Drosophila melanogaster: one gene and its partner. The protein of the gene in region 1 interacts with the protein of each later gene in a pairwise test. Each region holds a gene or a part of one and is shown on either strand. Other genes may lie near its edges.

Evidence for each region.
Region 2: the proteins of CG4829 (region 1) and RabGGTb interact in a two-hybrid assay, tested with the Drosophila melanogaster proteins (2 studies listed by BioGRID).

What each region holds. Positions count from the first base shown.
Region 1 is NC_004354.4:16,807,953-16,816,360, forward strand, and holds the start of CG4829 (uncharacterized protein), read left to right. Parts: upstream 1-3,746; 5' UTR 3,747-4,050; coding exon 4,051-4,109; intron 4,110-7,542; exon of another isoform or gene 7,543-7,660; intron 7,661-7,790; exon of another isoform or gene 7,791-7,993; intron 7,994-8,408. Other genes in the region: ppk28 (pickpocket 28), read left to right, coding at 1-5, 69-433.
Region 2 is NT_033779.5:2,877,342-2,883,523, reverse strand, and holds RabGGTb (Rab geranylgeranyltransferase subunit beta), read right to left. Parts: upstream 4,413-6,182; 5' UTR 4,261-4,412; coding exon 3,645-4,260; intron 3,481-3,644; coding exon 3,053-3,480; 3' UTR 2,816-3,052; downstream 1-2,815. Other genes in the region: NTPase, read left to right, coding at 691-2,142, 2,204-2,296; Sbat (sabbat), read right to left, coding at 4,566-4,931; Prx6a (peroxiredoxin 6a), read left to right, coding at 5,387-5,660, 5,721-5,913, 6,135-6,182.

The DNA of each region.
Region 1 (8,408 bases):
CTTGTGTAAGAGTTCAAAACTAAGAAATGTAACTAATCTTAATTATATCTTATCTTTTAAATTTCCAGCTAATACGGGCGGCCTTTTGGGACTTTTCATGGGCTTCAGCATTTTTTCGGTGATCGAGATCTTCTTCTACATCACCGTCCGTCCGTACTGCGCCTCGCGAACACTCCGGCAGCGCCACAAACGCCGCCTGGAGCAGCTGAGCTGGCTGACGCCGATCAGGATGCCCGTGCGCAGAGCACTGCGTCGCAATCGAGGTGGTCTCCTCCGGAATCCGCCGCCGCCGGCGTACAGTGATCTGCAAAAGTTCCGCGGGAAACTGGACAAGCCGGAGACATGCAAGCGGAAACTTTGGCGGACGCTGCAAGTGCGGCCAGTAGTGGATCGGGCGGATGAGGAACTGCCCACCTATCCCTACCTGGACTAAATTTATGTGTAGAAGCTGTATACACTGGGAAAAACACCCGTTCACTATACTAAAAACTAAAAAGAAAATCACCTGGAAGCAATGAAATTGCTTTATCTTTGAAAATTATTAAAGAGCAAATGTTGTTGCGATACAATAAAAAAAAACTTATTCAAAACTAAAGAATACAATGGCACAGAAAATGTAATATTCAAAAATGGAAATACCCCAAGTGACTGGAATTTCTCTTTCTGTAGCCACGTTTCTCATGTTCTTATTTATTGTGCTTCTTGCATAGTCGAATGTTTATGGCCCAGAAAACAGTACAACAATAAATAAATCCACGGCAAAGACAACAAAAAATAAAGGGCAACGAACGCTGAATCCACGGGTAAAATGACCTCAGTTGACACTGAAAAAAAATATAGTTTGCAATAAGATATTAAGGTTTTCGAAAGAAAGTCGAGTTCATATTGAGGGCACACTTATAGGAATTACCCACATTTTCGCTGCGTGTAGGCAGGTAGAAAAAGGGGCTGCGCCGGAAATTCGGACTGCGCCCTCTGCGATTGCGGATATCGGCTAATGGCGCTAATCGCCACGCGACTTCAATTTTAATTGATACCCAACTCAGTTTCTCCCGCTGCCCTTACAAAGTGTAAAGGAAATAACGCTTGGTTATAAAATAAATTTAAAAAAAAATTTTCAATACATATATTCATGGATTTTTATATATATTGTATGTATATTAAAGTGCGTACTCTAAGCTTAATAAACAAAAAAATACAATACCTTTTAAAAATATATTTAAATTTTATAAAGTCGTTATAAAACTGGCAAAATATAAGCTAGAAAAGTATTTCGAAATAAATATATCGAAATATACCAAAATATATGCTAAATAAGAGTTTGCTTATATACACTTTTTGAGAAGCGCATAGAACGGTGGCAAATACTCAAACCTTTTTGCGATGATTAAATACATTCATAATTCGATTGTTTTTGGCCATTAAGCAATTGCACAATAATCTTTTGGACTATTTAAATATTGTTTCAAGGTTTTGAATATAGTTTTGCCCAGAGTTCCACTAACTAAATACATCTTAGGCAGCGTAAACAATCGTTTGTATTTTCATATTTTCATATGCTCTCAAAGGTAGCCCAAAGGAAATGTTTACGTATGTATCTTCAAAATGTCTGAGTGAATTCAAGGTAATCAAAGATCAAATCGCTTCAATGTTTTTACATTTACATGCCAGCCAAATATGTGCATATGTGGTGGGCCCACACCCGATTTTTCTGTGTGTACACTAGTGCTTCCATCGGATATTTTTGTTGCCATTAGTTCAAACTTAAAGTTTCTCTAAGCTTAATAAATAAAAAAATACAATACCTTTTATACATAACTTTAAGTCATAGCTTAAGTTGAATATGTTAGTTACTCGTGCAAAATATTTAAATATAAAAATAATGCAAAGCATATATTTTGTTTACAGGGCATTCAGAGTTGGTTTTAGCCATCGTATTGCCCTTGTTTTGCTTTGGCCGCATTGTGTGTCAATTGAAACTTAATTGAGAGACAATTTTGGTATTGGCCAAATATCGTTGCGAACTTTTGTATTTGGCCAACGAAATTCGAACATGAAACGAGCAAGAATTTCGCAGGGCTGATGTCACTCCACCGCCGCTTTTCTTTTCCAAATTTTAATGAGCCGCTTTTGGGGGAGGATTGGTGAGACCACAAGTGACACCACCACTCAATGCCCAATGCTCTGTGGGATCTCCTCAGAATTCTCACCCATCAATGTCAAGTGGTCGAGTGTGTCTGTTTCTGCGAGTTCTCGACTTCACATCTCGCATCGCTCTAAGTACATAAGTGCCTTTTTTCGCTACATTCCCCCCCAAACAATACATTTCTATTCTATTTCAAAAAAATGCCTCTTTTAAGTTTTTTTTCGGTTTTTTTTTTGTGGTAAATCCCACCAGGCCGAGGATCTTTATTACACGGCCAGATGGAATATCTCACATAGCGCTTGCATTTCCAGTTGTATTTCTCTTTTTTCGATATTCTTCGATTTTGGGATCCTCCTCTTTTTCGAATGGGGATTGTAAACAAACAAGTGGCGGATTGTTTATGGGCTTAGTCAGTGAAGTAGTGGGAAAAATGGGGATGGGGATGCCTTAAGATGCAATGACTTTCTCAAAATATCCAAGTGCATCCTACAAATGCTACATTAAATTGAATATTTGTGAATGCCTTTCATGGAGTTGCCGATTCCAAATAGAGATTGTATAAAGTTTTCTATTTTTTTCTATATGTTTTTAGCCAACCCTTGTGACCACTAATTTCAAACTTTAGCTACGCTACTTTTTGGCCAAGCCCATAAACTCTACTTTTCGCCATTCGGTTGGTCCGAATAATCCACGTATGTTTCAGACTATGTATGTATATATATCTATCTCGGAACATTTCACTTTCGCCGGCTGTTGGCTTGGTGCCTCCAGTTTTATGGTGGATATATATTTTATCTGTCCATGATTCATGGGATTCATGCCACCACAGACATTCCCGCAAACTAACATGTGCCCGCCGGTTCCTGGAATTGAAGAAAACAATCCGCCGGAATGGATTACAGATCTTGGATTAGTTATGGATATCTGCTGTCGGTGTTATTATGTACAGAATTTCCAGCTATGCAAGAAACTACTTCCCGCAGAACTTTCTGAACATCCTTAGTTCTTTGTGAATAAAACTGATTAATGGCCAGACACATTGCTCATACGCAGCGTTGGTCTCTTATGCACTGTGATGTTTCGGGTCGTTTAATTGTGGTTAAATAAAACAGTGACATGCATCGCTTACCTACACGGAGAACTGAGAACAGCACCGGCAACGGGAGTCATTTCCTTTTGGTTATTTATCTTACTTGGACAGTGCGTTGCGAAATTGTAAGACATGTGCCTACTATTGTCGTTTTAATGTTAAAACCGAAGTTGCTAAATTCTAATAAGCATTTACATATAAGATGATGTAAGCCCAAACAAAGTATACACTCGTGCTATTTTCCTAGCCTTACATGTTTGTCGCGCACTGTCGCTGGTTGCTTAAATGTTTATGCTAACGGCAGCAACAATTGGCCGGCCCACGTGGGTGGATTTGGATTCGGATCTGTATTTAGCTGCGGCCGTAGCTATGAGGTGGCATGGAATGGGGATGGTGATGCCGATGGTGATGGTGATGGTAATGTTAATGGGAAATGGGGCCGGACTCTGCCTCTGCCGGCGTCGCAGCGGCCGCATCTCCGGACGGCATCTCCGGCGGAAAGTGAGAATTCAGTCGGAAAGTGAACGCCGCGAACGCCGCCGCCTCCAAAAATTGTCGCGCCAAGTAGTAAACCCAACTTTCAATCTATTCTAGATTCAACTGCCAAATCATATAATTCCAATTGAAAACCAACCAAAGTTTAATTCAAGGAAATCCCACCGCGCCCCGTGTTCATAATTATTTTTTTTGTTGAAATTTTTTACTGTGCGTGCATTGGCATAAGCGATTTGAATCGCCAGCTGGCGGCATCAAAAAGCTGGAGAGGAGGTGCTAATCCCATAGACAGCACAATAAAATTGGCAAAAGTTGCGAAATGCATTCCACGGCATGCGGCGTAGGTGCCTCGGCCACAAATCTCTCGACACTGCAATCGTAAGTTCACCTGGGGTCAAATTGGGATCGAAAGAGTCTTGGAAAATATATTTAAATTCTATAAAGTCGTTATAAAACATGCAAAATATAAGCTAGAAAAGTATTTCGAAATAAATATATCGAAATATACCAAAATATATGCTAAATAAGAATTTGCTTATCTACACTTTTTGAGAAGCGCATAGAACGGTGGCAAATACTTAAACCTTTTTGCGATGATTAATACATTCATAATTTGAACTTTTTGGCCATTAAGCAATTGCACAATAATCTTTTGGACTATTTAAATATTGTTTCAAGGTTTTGAATATAGTTTTGCCCAATGTTCCACTAACTAAATACATCTTAGACAGCTTAAACAAACGTTTGTATGTTTTCATATGCTCTCAAAGGTAGCCCAAAGGAAATGTTTACGTATGTATCTTCAAAATGTCTGAGTGAATTCAAGGTAATCAAAGATCAAATCGCTTCAATGTTGTTTACATTTACATGCCAGCCAAATATGTGCATATGTGGTGGGCCCACACCCGATTTTTCTGTGTGTACACTAGTGCTTCCATCGGATATTTTTGTTGCCATTAGTTCAAACTTAAAGTTTCGTCGATTTCAGTGGACCGCAAAACAATCCATCAAAAAACAGAAGAGGAGGAGGGATAATGCGGAGCGCGGAAAAACCAACAAGTGAAATTCTTGTGCCGCGTTTTTTTTTCTCTTGCAGGGAAATGGGGAGGAAAATCGGTGGATATGTGGGGGTTGGGGGCGTGGTCACATGCTGGGCCGTAAAGTAGCTCACAAGAAGCGCAATGTAAACAATTACTCACACTGCTCATTTCCCACTCTGCACTTTGTTCCGCTTTTCCTGCCCATCGATGTGTGTCAGACGAACCGAAAATAGTTTTCACAGGATGATTGGGGCGTGGCATGCCACATGAAAGCGCAACACAATGTGGGGCACTTCAAAAACCAGAAATCTGAAAAAAAAAGAAAACAAAAACATCCAGTAGCCGAAGGGAATTTTTCCACGACCATTTAATGAGCCCGCCGCCAAGTGCCTCTATCTCCATCTGCACTTTTTTTTTCGGCTCAGAGGTTGCCCAGAGGTTGTTGCCCAAACCAAACCAAATTCACGAATTCCAGACAGACAAGTGACAAGTTCAAATATGCACTCGGAAAAATATATACTAACAATAATCGAATCGAGTACAGAGTGCAAATAGACTGAGTTCATACGAACTTAAGAAATATTTGATTTCTTATGTGCATATCTTAAGTCAATTTAAAATACACACTTGAAGAAATCAAGAGGCATACGGGTAATATTTTTTTTCAATATTATTATTTATTTATTATTTTATTTCGAATTTATTAAGGCGTAAACTTATTTTGTGTTTTTTTAAGCATTTCCTACACACACTCGATTCTATATTTTCAATTTGTTAGCTTACAGTGAGTTAGTAATTACTGTTTTTTTTTTACTGTATTTAGTGGAAATGCAGAAAATATATAAATCTCGATTTCCGCGCCCCTTCTCCAGTGCGAGTGCGAGTGAGAGCTTAGATCGGGCCAAGGTTAGCTGGTTAAATGTGTTTGTGACGTCACCGCGTCGGCGTCGCCAACAACCAACGCACAAAAAATTAAAAAAATTAAAATTGCATGTGATGAATGTGTATATATATTTTCCACTGCATTCGCACCTAAAAAATATCAACGAGCAAAAAGCCATTTATTTAATTTTGGGTTGGGCCTGTGACCATTGATGGGCAGCTTTGCTGGGGATCGCAAATGCAGAGATGATACTTATAAAGAATATTCAGCATTTCAATAGTCATTATTTTTAGATAACTAACTTTATCTATATTATTTTGAATGATATGTAAGATAAGAATAATTATGGAATTTTAAAGATGATGTTTATTTATTTATGTCAAGCATACTTGAGATTGATTTCTAACGGAAACAAGCTGATACATTTATCTCTACAATTTCCTCTCTGATTTTATAGTTATACTCTCATAAAATCCAATTTCCAACATATTTCGATTTTCAATTCCAAAAGAAGCCTACGCAATGTTGTGTTTACAGTAGCTGTGATTCGGTATGCAAATCCATATAAAATGGAATGGAAACCAAAAAGGGCAGATAAAGCAGGGTCAAGTGTTGAGTTATATTTTTTATAAACAGTGGGATGAGTCTGCGTGATGGATTCCCTGTAATTAGCCCATTGTCATGTGGATGGACGCAATGCCGCCCACTCCGCCCACGAGCGTACGCTTCAAGTACAGTGAAGCCTCCCCCAAATCGCTCCTCCTCTTCGGTCAGCGTGCATGCCATGCATTTAGGGTAAATTATCATAGCATGCCAATTTAGAGGTGATCAGATTAAGGTCATATCTTTGTTTGTTGTCACACATTGGAAAAATGCGTTGTGGGGGTCAGTGAAGTTGGGCTACACCGAAAGAAATAGCTGGGCATACATTTATTTATACAATGAATTCAATAAAGAGAAAATTATGTTAAATGTAGATCAATTTCAAACAATTTGTTAAGCCTTTAAGCCTCTTAAAATTAACTTTATAATAACGCTTTAAGCTCTTCTTATGAGTGGATTAATTTTTTCGAGTATACCCAAACTGCGCTCAACTGCCGATAATTTGTGCAATTTGTTGACACACATTTTAATTTTTTCCGTGCGCTCTTTTTTGTTCGCCATTTGTCGTCTGCTGTTGCCTTTGATTTGCCTCTGGATCCAGCCACTATATAGTTTATAGTTTATAGTATATAGTATATTGTATACTGTTCACTATGGCGACTGTGGCAAATTGCACGCTTTAGCAGCACGACATCGCGCATGTATAAATAAATAAGTAGTGTTTTCGCCAGCCATCTACATACATACATACGTATGTATCTCAGTATCTTTGTATCTCTGGTGCAATTGACATGCTTCCATGATCATCATCCTCCTTGTGGCGTTTGGCGTTGCCTTTTGTCCGCTGCGCAGCTCTTATCACCGGCAGACAACTGCAAATGTCAAACTGCAGCGGAAATCTGCGTGGCCCCACAAAATAGTACAAAAACAAAACTGCTCGGATGCTCAGCGGATGTGCGGAGATGATGGCCAAACGATGACCACTCCAGGGAACACGCACATCGGACCACAGTCGCGGTCAAGTCATTAGATCGGGTGCTAGGCTATCGTGGACATATGTATGTATATATTTTTCAAAATATATATCGACATTTTTAGTAGTCTTACATAACTTACTTTTATTTTATTGACTTTTTATTTAATAGAAAAGTATTCAAAAAATGTAAGTTCCCCGACGTTGAAACAAAAATTGTACAACTAAATATATATATTTTTTTGTATTTCCCTTTATTAGGCATAACATTTTTAACGTATTTCCCTTAAATATATATTAAGTGCTTGCCCGCTGCTGTGACTGCACGCTAACTTGCTTACCAATATCTTATTTCACCTGTTCCAATATAAAGCGCTGCCAATTTCACTTGCGTTTCAGAAGCACACATCCAAAAGATACTCAAAGGTCGCTGAAGATAGAAAATTAGATTAGAAACAGTTGAAGGAGGCACATTGTCAGGAAATGGGAAATAAATCAAAGTAAAATAAATGAGGTTCATAAATATAAGAACGACGCTTATCCTTACACAATTTACCAACCTTGGCGGCGATTGCAATTAAAGTGATTTGATGATGTCACTGGATTGTCTCACATTTTCCGATTTTCCCTCCATATTATCATTACTATTTTATTTCGCTATTTTTTTTTTTTTTTTGTGTTAGCTTGGCTCGGTTGCTTGTTTGGTTTGTTTGTTTGGTTGAGCCTGTTTTGTCGCCTCGCGTCGCTTTGTGTGTCCATTTTTGTGTGTCACTGTCAACAAATTGCTCTTAATGGCTCGCCGCCGGGTGGGTGGTGGCCACTGGCCACGCCCCCCGGCAACCACTGAAATGATACAACTATAACCGAAAGCCAACCAGAACCCGCAGAGCCTAGCATCCAGAATGATGGCAATCACGGCAGCTCTATGTCCATCGGGGTCGTCTAATTTTTTGTGATTTCCGCACCGCCAGCAACAATTTGCAATGCAGCGTGGAACAAAAACTAAATAAATAAAAAAAAAAAAATAAAATAAAATAAAATATAGTATGAAACAAAAATACAATAAGAGCGCAACAGCAGCTGCGCTGCGGCAGCGACGCAACTTCGCTGCCCACTCGGCTAGACGAAAAGCAGTCGCAGTCAGAGATGGCTAACATTTTATGCCATTAAATAATTTC
Region 2 (6,182 bases), on another chromosome or scaffold:
GCGTCTTATCACTGTCATATCGCCCAGAAAGCTACGCGATAAGATTCTAGTCGAATGGCCACTGGCTTCGCTGACTTCCTCAGCGAAAATGTGTAATTTGGCATGACTTTATATTTTAAGAAAATTAATAATAGCCATAGCTAAAGCCATAGAAACGCATTTTTTACTATTTTTAGTGTTTATCGTTTGTTCTTATAAGAACTAATATAAACTAGCGAAAAGTTAGGTAGAACAATAATATATACTAATCGTGGAAATATCCAAGTAATGCGCTTTAAAAGGTTATTTTGTTTGAAGTAACGGTTTTCTGTTTACCAACTGCCCTAAATTACCGTTGCCAAAAGTGTGGCCCAACCCTGGTTAACGTTATCGATGAGCCACGGACTCTGCAGCCCTGGCACATGTTAACGATAAAGCCCGTAAAATAGACCGAAAACAAGAGAAGAAATGAAATTCATTGACATTCGCAGAGATAGCAAACAGCCAGCGTGTTAATATTTGAGCAGCAAACAACTGAAATGTGTTCCGACCAAGAAACCGGCCATGCATAAATGTGGAGCCAGCAGAGGCAACGGAACGAACCATGAAATACGAATATAAGCTGGTAGACCCGATGAACTTGGCCAAGAAAAACACCATCAAATAACTGAGTAGTCGGTCACAAAACTAATTTGTCTTTCGCCTTTTCAGCTGGCCACGGATGAGAAGCCACCGCGGCGGAAAAGTAGCGGATCACCAAATGCCAGCAGTGGTGGAAACCGCGGGCCCAGCGGCCTCAAGATCTCCTTCCTGTGCCTGATCATCTCCGTCATCCTCCTGCTCTTTGTCTTTGGTGTGTACCATTTGTATTATGTAAAAGACGAAGTGCCCAAAGTTGTACTAACGAAAACCTCTGATTTTCCCACTGTTACCGTGCCCTACGCCCACGTGGAACCCCATTTTGCGCCACCCGTTCGCCGTGTTATCACTAAAAAACCCATCGCCAATAAACCAACGACTGACAACGATGCAGGCTTCGTCTCCGAGAACGCCAGTCCGTATCTGGCCCGTTTGGCCTCCAAGTTTGGCTACAGCAAGGTGCAGTATGCGGCCATCATCGATGCCGGATCGACGGGCAGCCGTGTGCTGGCCTACAAGTTCAATCGCAGCTTCATCGACAACAAACTGGTGCTGTACGAGGAGCTGTTCAAGGAGCGCAAGCCGGGTCTGAGCTCCTTCGCGGATAATCCCGCCGAGGGTGCCCACTCCATCAAACTGCTGCTGGACGAGGCCCGCGCCTTCATACCCAAGGAGCACTGGTCTTCCACACCGCTGGTTCTGAAAGCGACCGCCGGCCTGAGACTCCTGCCCGCCAGCAAGGCGGAAAACATTCTAAATGCCGTCCGAGATCTCTTCGCCAAGTCCGAGTTTAGTGTGGATATGGATGCCGTGGAGATCATGGACGGCACGGACGAGGGCATCTTCAGCTGGTTTACCGTGAACTTCCTGCTGGGCCGCCTGTCCAAGACGAACCAGGCAGCTGCCTTGGACTTGGGCGGCGGTAGCACGCAGGTAACCTTCTCGCCAACGGATCCGGACCAGGTGCCCGTGTACGATAAGTACATGCACGAGGTGGTCACGTCCAGCAAGAAGATCAACGTCTTCACGCACAGCTATCTGGGACTGGGTCTAATGGCTGCACGCCATGCTGTCTTCACGCACGGCTACAAGAAGGAGGATACGGTGCTGGAGAGCGTCTGCGTGAATCCCATAATCGCCAATCGCACGTGGACATACGGCAATGTGCAGTACAAGGTCAGCGGCAAGGAGAATGGCAAGTCCAGTGCCGAGCAGCCCATTGTGGACTTCGATGCCTGCCTGGAGCTGGTCAAGAGCAAGGTAATGCCGCTGGTCAAGCCCAAGCCGTTCACACTCAAGCAGCACGCGGTGGCCGCGTTCAGCTACTACTTTGAGCGGGCCATCGAGTCGGGTCTGGTGGATCCACTGGCTGGCGGCGAGACCACGGTGGAAGCTTATCGCAAGAAGGCCCAGGAGATCTGTGCCATTCCCAACGATGAGCAGCCCTTCATGTGCTTCGACCTTACCTTCATCTCGACGCTGCTGCGCGAAGGATTTGGCCTCAACGATGGCAAGAAGATTAAGGTGAGTCCTGGCGCACTTAACACAAATTGAACTCTCTAGTAACTCGTTTTAAATTGTGCAGCTTTACAAGAAGATAGATGGCCACGAAATCTCCTGGGCCCTCGGCTGTGCATACAACGTTCTGACTAGCGACGAGAAATTCAGTAATTCCTAATGCTCCTCCATTAGTCCGTAGTTGAAGACATAAATTTTAAACGGATTGTTAGCTGAAATTGTTTATAGAGTGCCTTAGACGTGCATCGAGTATACTACAATCACAACACACCGCACACACCGCACACACCACACACACACAGAACACACACTCGGACATTGTCCACAGCATATGTATGATGTGGTCGATTAATATTTGTTTGTGCTCTGCAAGATTCGTTTCAATTGCCTCTAATTGAGCTAACCCATACACGGTGACTACACTTAGCGTTTAGTTTGTAATTCCAATTTTGTGTGATTCGCCATATTTGTAATGCAGTTTTTTGCCAACTTCTTAACTAATTAGTCCCTACACTCGTATCGTATCCTCATGTACATAAATTTACACAATGATATGTATTTACCTAATATGTATAACGACCTAGACTACTAGCCGCAAACATTTCACACGGTTTTTCACACATGCAAATGTTAGTTTAGTTATCTTTGCAAATAAATCAAATGTTAACTGATCTGAATTAAAGTAAAATATTTGTTTATTGCTGATTTTCGTTCGCTATACAAAATATTCTATATTTAATAATAATAGAGGGGTAAATGCATAACGAAGAAAATGAGTAAAGAAAGGGTGTTCCTGCTATGGAATTTTGGTCTTTTTACAAATAAAACTAAGAAACGCTAGCGTGGGAATACGTCAGAGGTCTGCTGCACTACACATTGGCTACGCACTGGCTGCATGTGGAATCGATGAATCCCCTCATGGCCTCGGCAATAGTTGCGGCTTGATGCCCAGCCGGTCGATGATGTACTGCGGCATGCAGAGCGTTGGGTTGATGGCCTTCAGGCCGGAATGTCCCAGTAGCGAGAGTCCGCCGATGCCGAACAGCGTGTGGAATATGTCCGGCATGTTGCCAGTTCTGTCCGAGAAGCCACCGGTCTCCGTGTCCTGGCACGACAGTATGAACTGCTGCAGCTTCTCCGAGCTGATCCAGTGCAGGCGGCCCATGATGGTGAGCGAGGCGAGCACCCACCACGAATAGCATACATCCGGCAGCTTCTCGGGCCGTCCATTTAGCCCACCGGAGGGCAGCTGCCGCTCGCAGAGCCACCAGCCCAGTTTGTCCACGTCGAGCAGATGCAGGCGATGGGTCAGCGAGAAGAAGCCGACGCAGCAGTAGATGAGCCCTGCGGGTTATATGTAGATTAGTTTTTGGATAACATATATGAGCACCAGCTTTATGGCTAGCTATTTTTCTAGTATACTTTTTGTTCCCAGAAGATTAATAAGTTTAAATTGAAATGATATTGACTGTGAGGGCGAAAGCATGACAGGCGATGTGGTGACTCACCCGCATGCGACTCGGCGCCCGGCTTGGAACCGAATCCACCGTCCGTCTGATTGCAGCACGAGAGCACGAACTTGACCGCCTTCTCCACGTCGATGGTCTGCTCCATGCGGCCGAGCAGCGTTAGGGAGGCCACCGCACAGAAGCTGAACCTGGTGTCCACCTCGCCCCACTTGTCGCCAAAGAAGCTGCCGTCGGGCTGCTGCAGTCCGACCACGAATCGGACCACCGCCTCGCGGTCGATCTCCTCGAGGGCGTCGTAGGTGCAGAGGATCTGGATGGCCGACAGGGTGTACAGCAGGTGGGGATCGTGGCCCTCGCAGGGTGCGAATCCGCCCGTGTTCGGACACTGACAACGCTTCACAAACTCGATGATGGACTTGCGCTCCAATCGCTCCAGCTGGCCCATAATGTCCAGGGCAGTGGTGCCCCAATAGATGCCCGACATGCGCAGAAACTCGGTCATGCAGTACTCGTAGTCGTCCTCCTGCTTCCCATGGTTCTCGATGTACTCCACATGCTTCCAGAACTGCAGCTTCTGGCCGCCGCCATCCGCATCACCACCACCGCCGCTGTCGCCACCGCCATTTGAGGGCTTTACGAAGGTCGTGAAGTCCATCGCTGATTGGGCTCAATTGAATGAGTATCGGGTGGCTGGCAGATCCTCTTCGGCGCGCTGTTTCGCTTGATTAACTCTATTAATTGGCAGGAATAGTGCTGCGAGCAAACAAATAACTCAGTGAATCCAATCGAGCACAGCTGATTCATCTGCGCGATGGTTGGCAACGCGGCAGTGGCTTATCAAACAGCTGATCGACGCAGGGGCGTAGTGTGGAGGGGTTTACTATAACCCCATCCAAAAATAAAAATTAAACGTACTTAAATTTCAAATAGCTAGTTTATTTTATTCAAAACACATGCACACTATTGCACCAGCAGGCTGGACTGCGGATCCGGCTCGTCGATGCTTAGGGAGACTATGTGCTGGCCGGGAACCATGACGTTGCCCAGCAGGCGCGGCTCCTGGCCCTCCACCAAGTACTCGGCGCACATGGACAGCACGATGTTGGCGTCGCGGTCCGTGCAGTTGAAGAATCCCACCAGCACGCGTCCGTCCGTAATCACGATCCGAAGAACTCGACCCAGCCACTTCTGGAGCTTCCTGCGTCCCGGCGTCAAACTGGCATCGTTCATCTGGTGCGGGGCGTTCGTTGTGATGCGGAAGGGCTCCGGTGGTGTGCATGCGGGCGGGGGCATCACCTGCTGGCCAGTGATGCTCAGTTCTGTCATGGTTATATCCTCTTTGCTCAATTTAAACAAATAAATGCAAGAAATTCTCAGCTTTTTTTGTGTTTACACTGCGCGTATGTGTGATATAGTGTGCGTGTGTATGAGTAATGGCCAGGGATGCAAGCACGTGTAAGTGGTTCGGTTCACTGGTTCACTTTTTGAGCTCATAAATTCGAAAATATACGAAACACTCGTTTGCTTGTGTCAAAGAAAATACTTTAGATTTAAAACACTTAAAGGAAATGATTGCAAAATGAATGCACACAATGAGCCTTCTTTTTAACATCTTCATACGAAAACTAGTTCTTTTTATATTTGCATCCCTGGTCGAGCTGAGCTTATAAAGGTAACGGGCACCCTAGCCCAGTCAGCTGATTTGCATTTTGCGGCAAATTTTGTTTCGCATTTATCCAAAAAGCTCGTAATTCGTCTCTTGATTTTTTCAAATATCCACCATGTCCGGAAAGGCTTTAAACATTGGCGATCAGTTCCCAAACTTCACGGCTGAGACCAGCGAGGGTCGAATCGATTTCTACGACTGGATGCAGGACAGCTGGGCCATTCTGTTCTCCCATCCGGCGGATTTTACGCCGGTTTGCACCACGGAATTGTCCCGGGTGGCGGCATTGATTCCGGAATTCCAAAAGCGTGGAGTCAAGCCAATTGCACTGTCCTGCGACACCGTGGAGTCGCACAAGGGTTGGATCGAGGACATCAAGAGCTTTGGCAGTGGGTTTGGTCACTGATTTCTGGACAGGAATCGCTTCTAATTGGCGTTTCTGTTCGCAGAGCTGAGCTCCTTTGACTATCCCATCATTGCGGACGACAAAAGGGAACTGGCGCTCAAGTTTAATATGCTGGACAAGGACGAGATCAATGCCGAGGGCATTCCCCTCACCTGTCGCGCCGTTTTCGTGGTGGACGACAAGAAGAAGCTTCGCCTGTCCATCCTGTATCCTGCCACCACTGGGCGCAACTTTGAGTGGGTATTCCAATATCTAGCATTCATCATTATCTATAAAGTAATGCTGTAATGCACTTTAGCAAACAATCGTGCACTTAATCGCATTAGCAGATAATTATTTAATGAAGTATTATTGCTGAAAACTAAGTACTAACCTTGCATATAATAATGGAAGTTAAATAGGAACGATTTCAAGGTCAATTAATCCGACAAATTACATTTAACTATATCCTTTGCAGTGAAATCCTTCGAGTGATCGACTCGCTCCAGTTGACCCAAACAAAGAG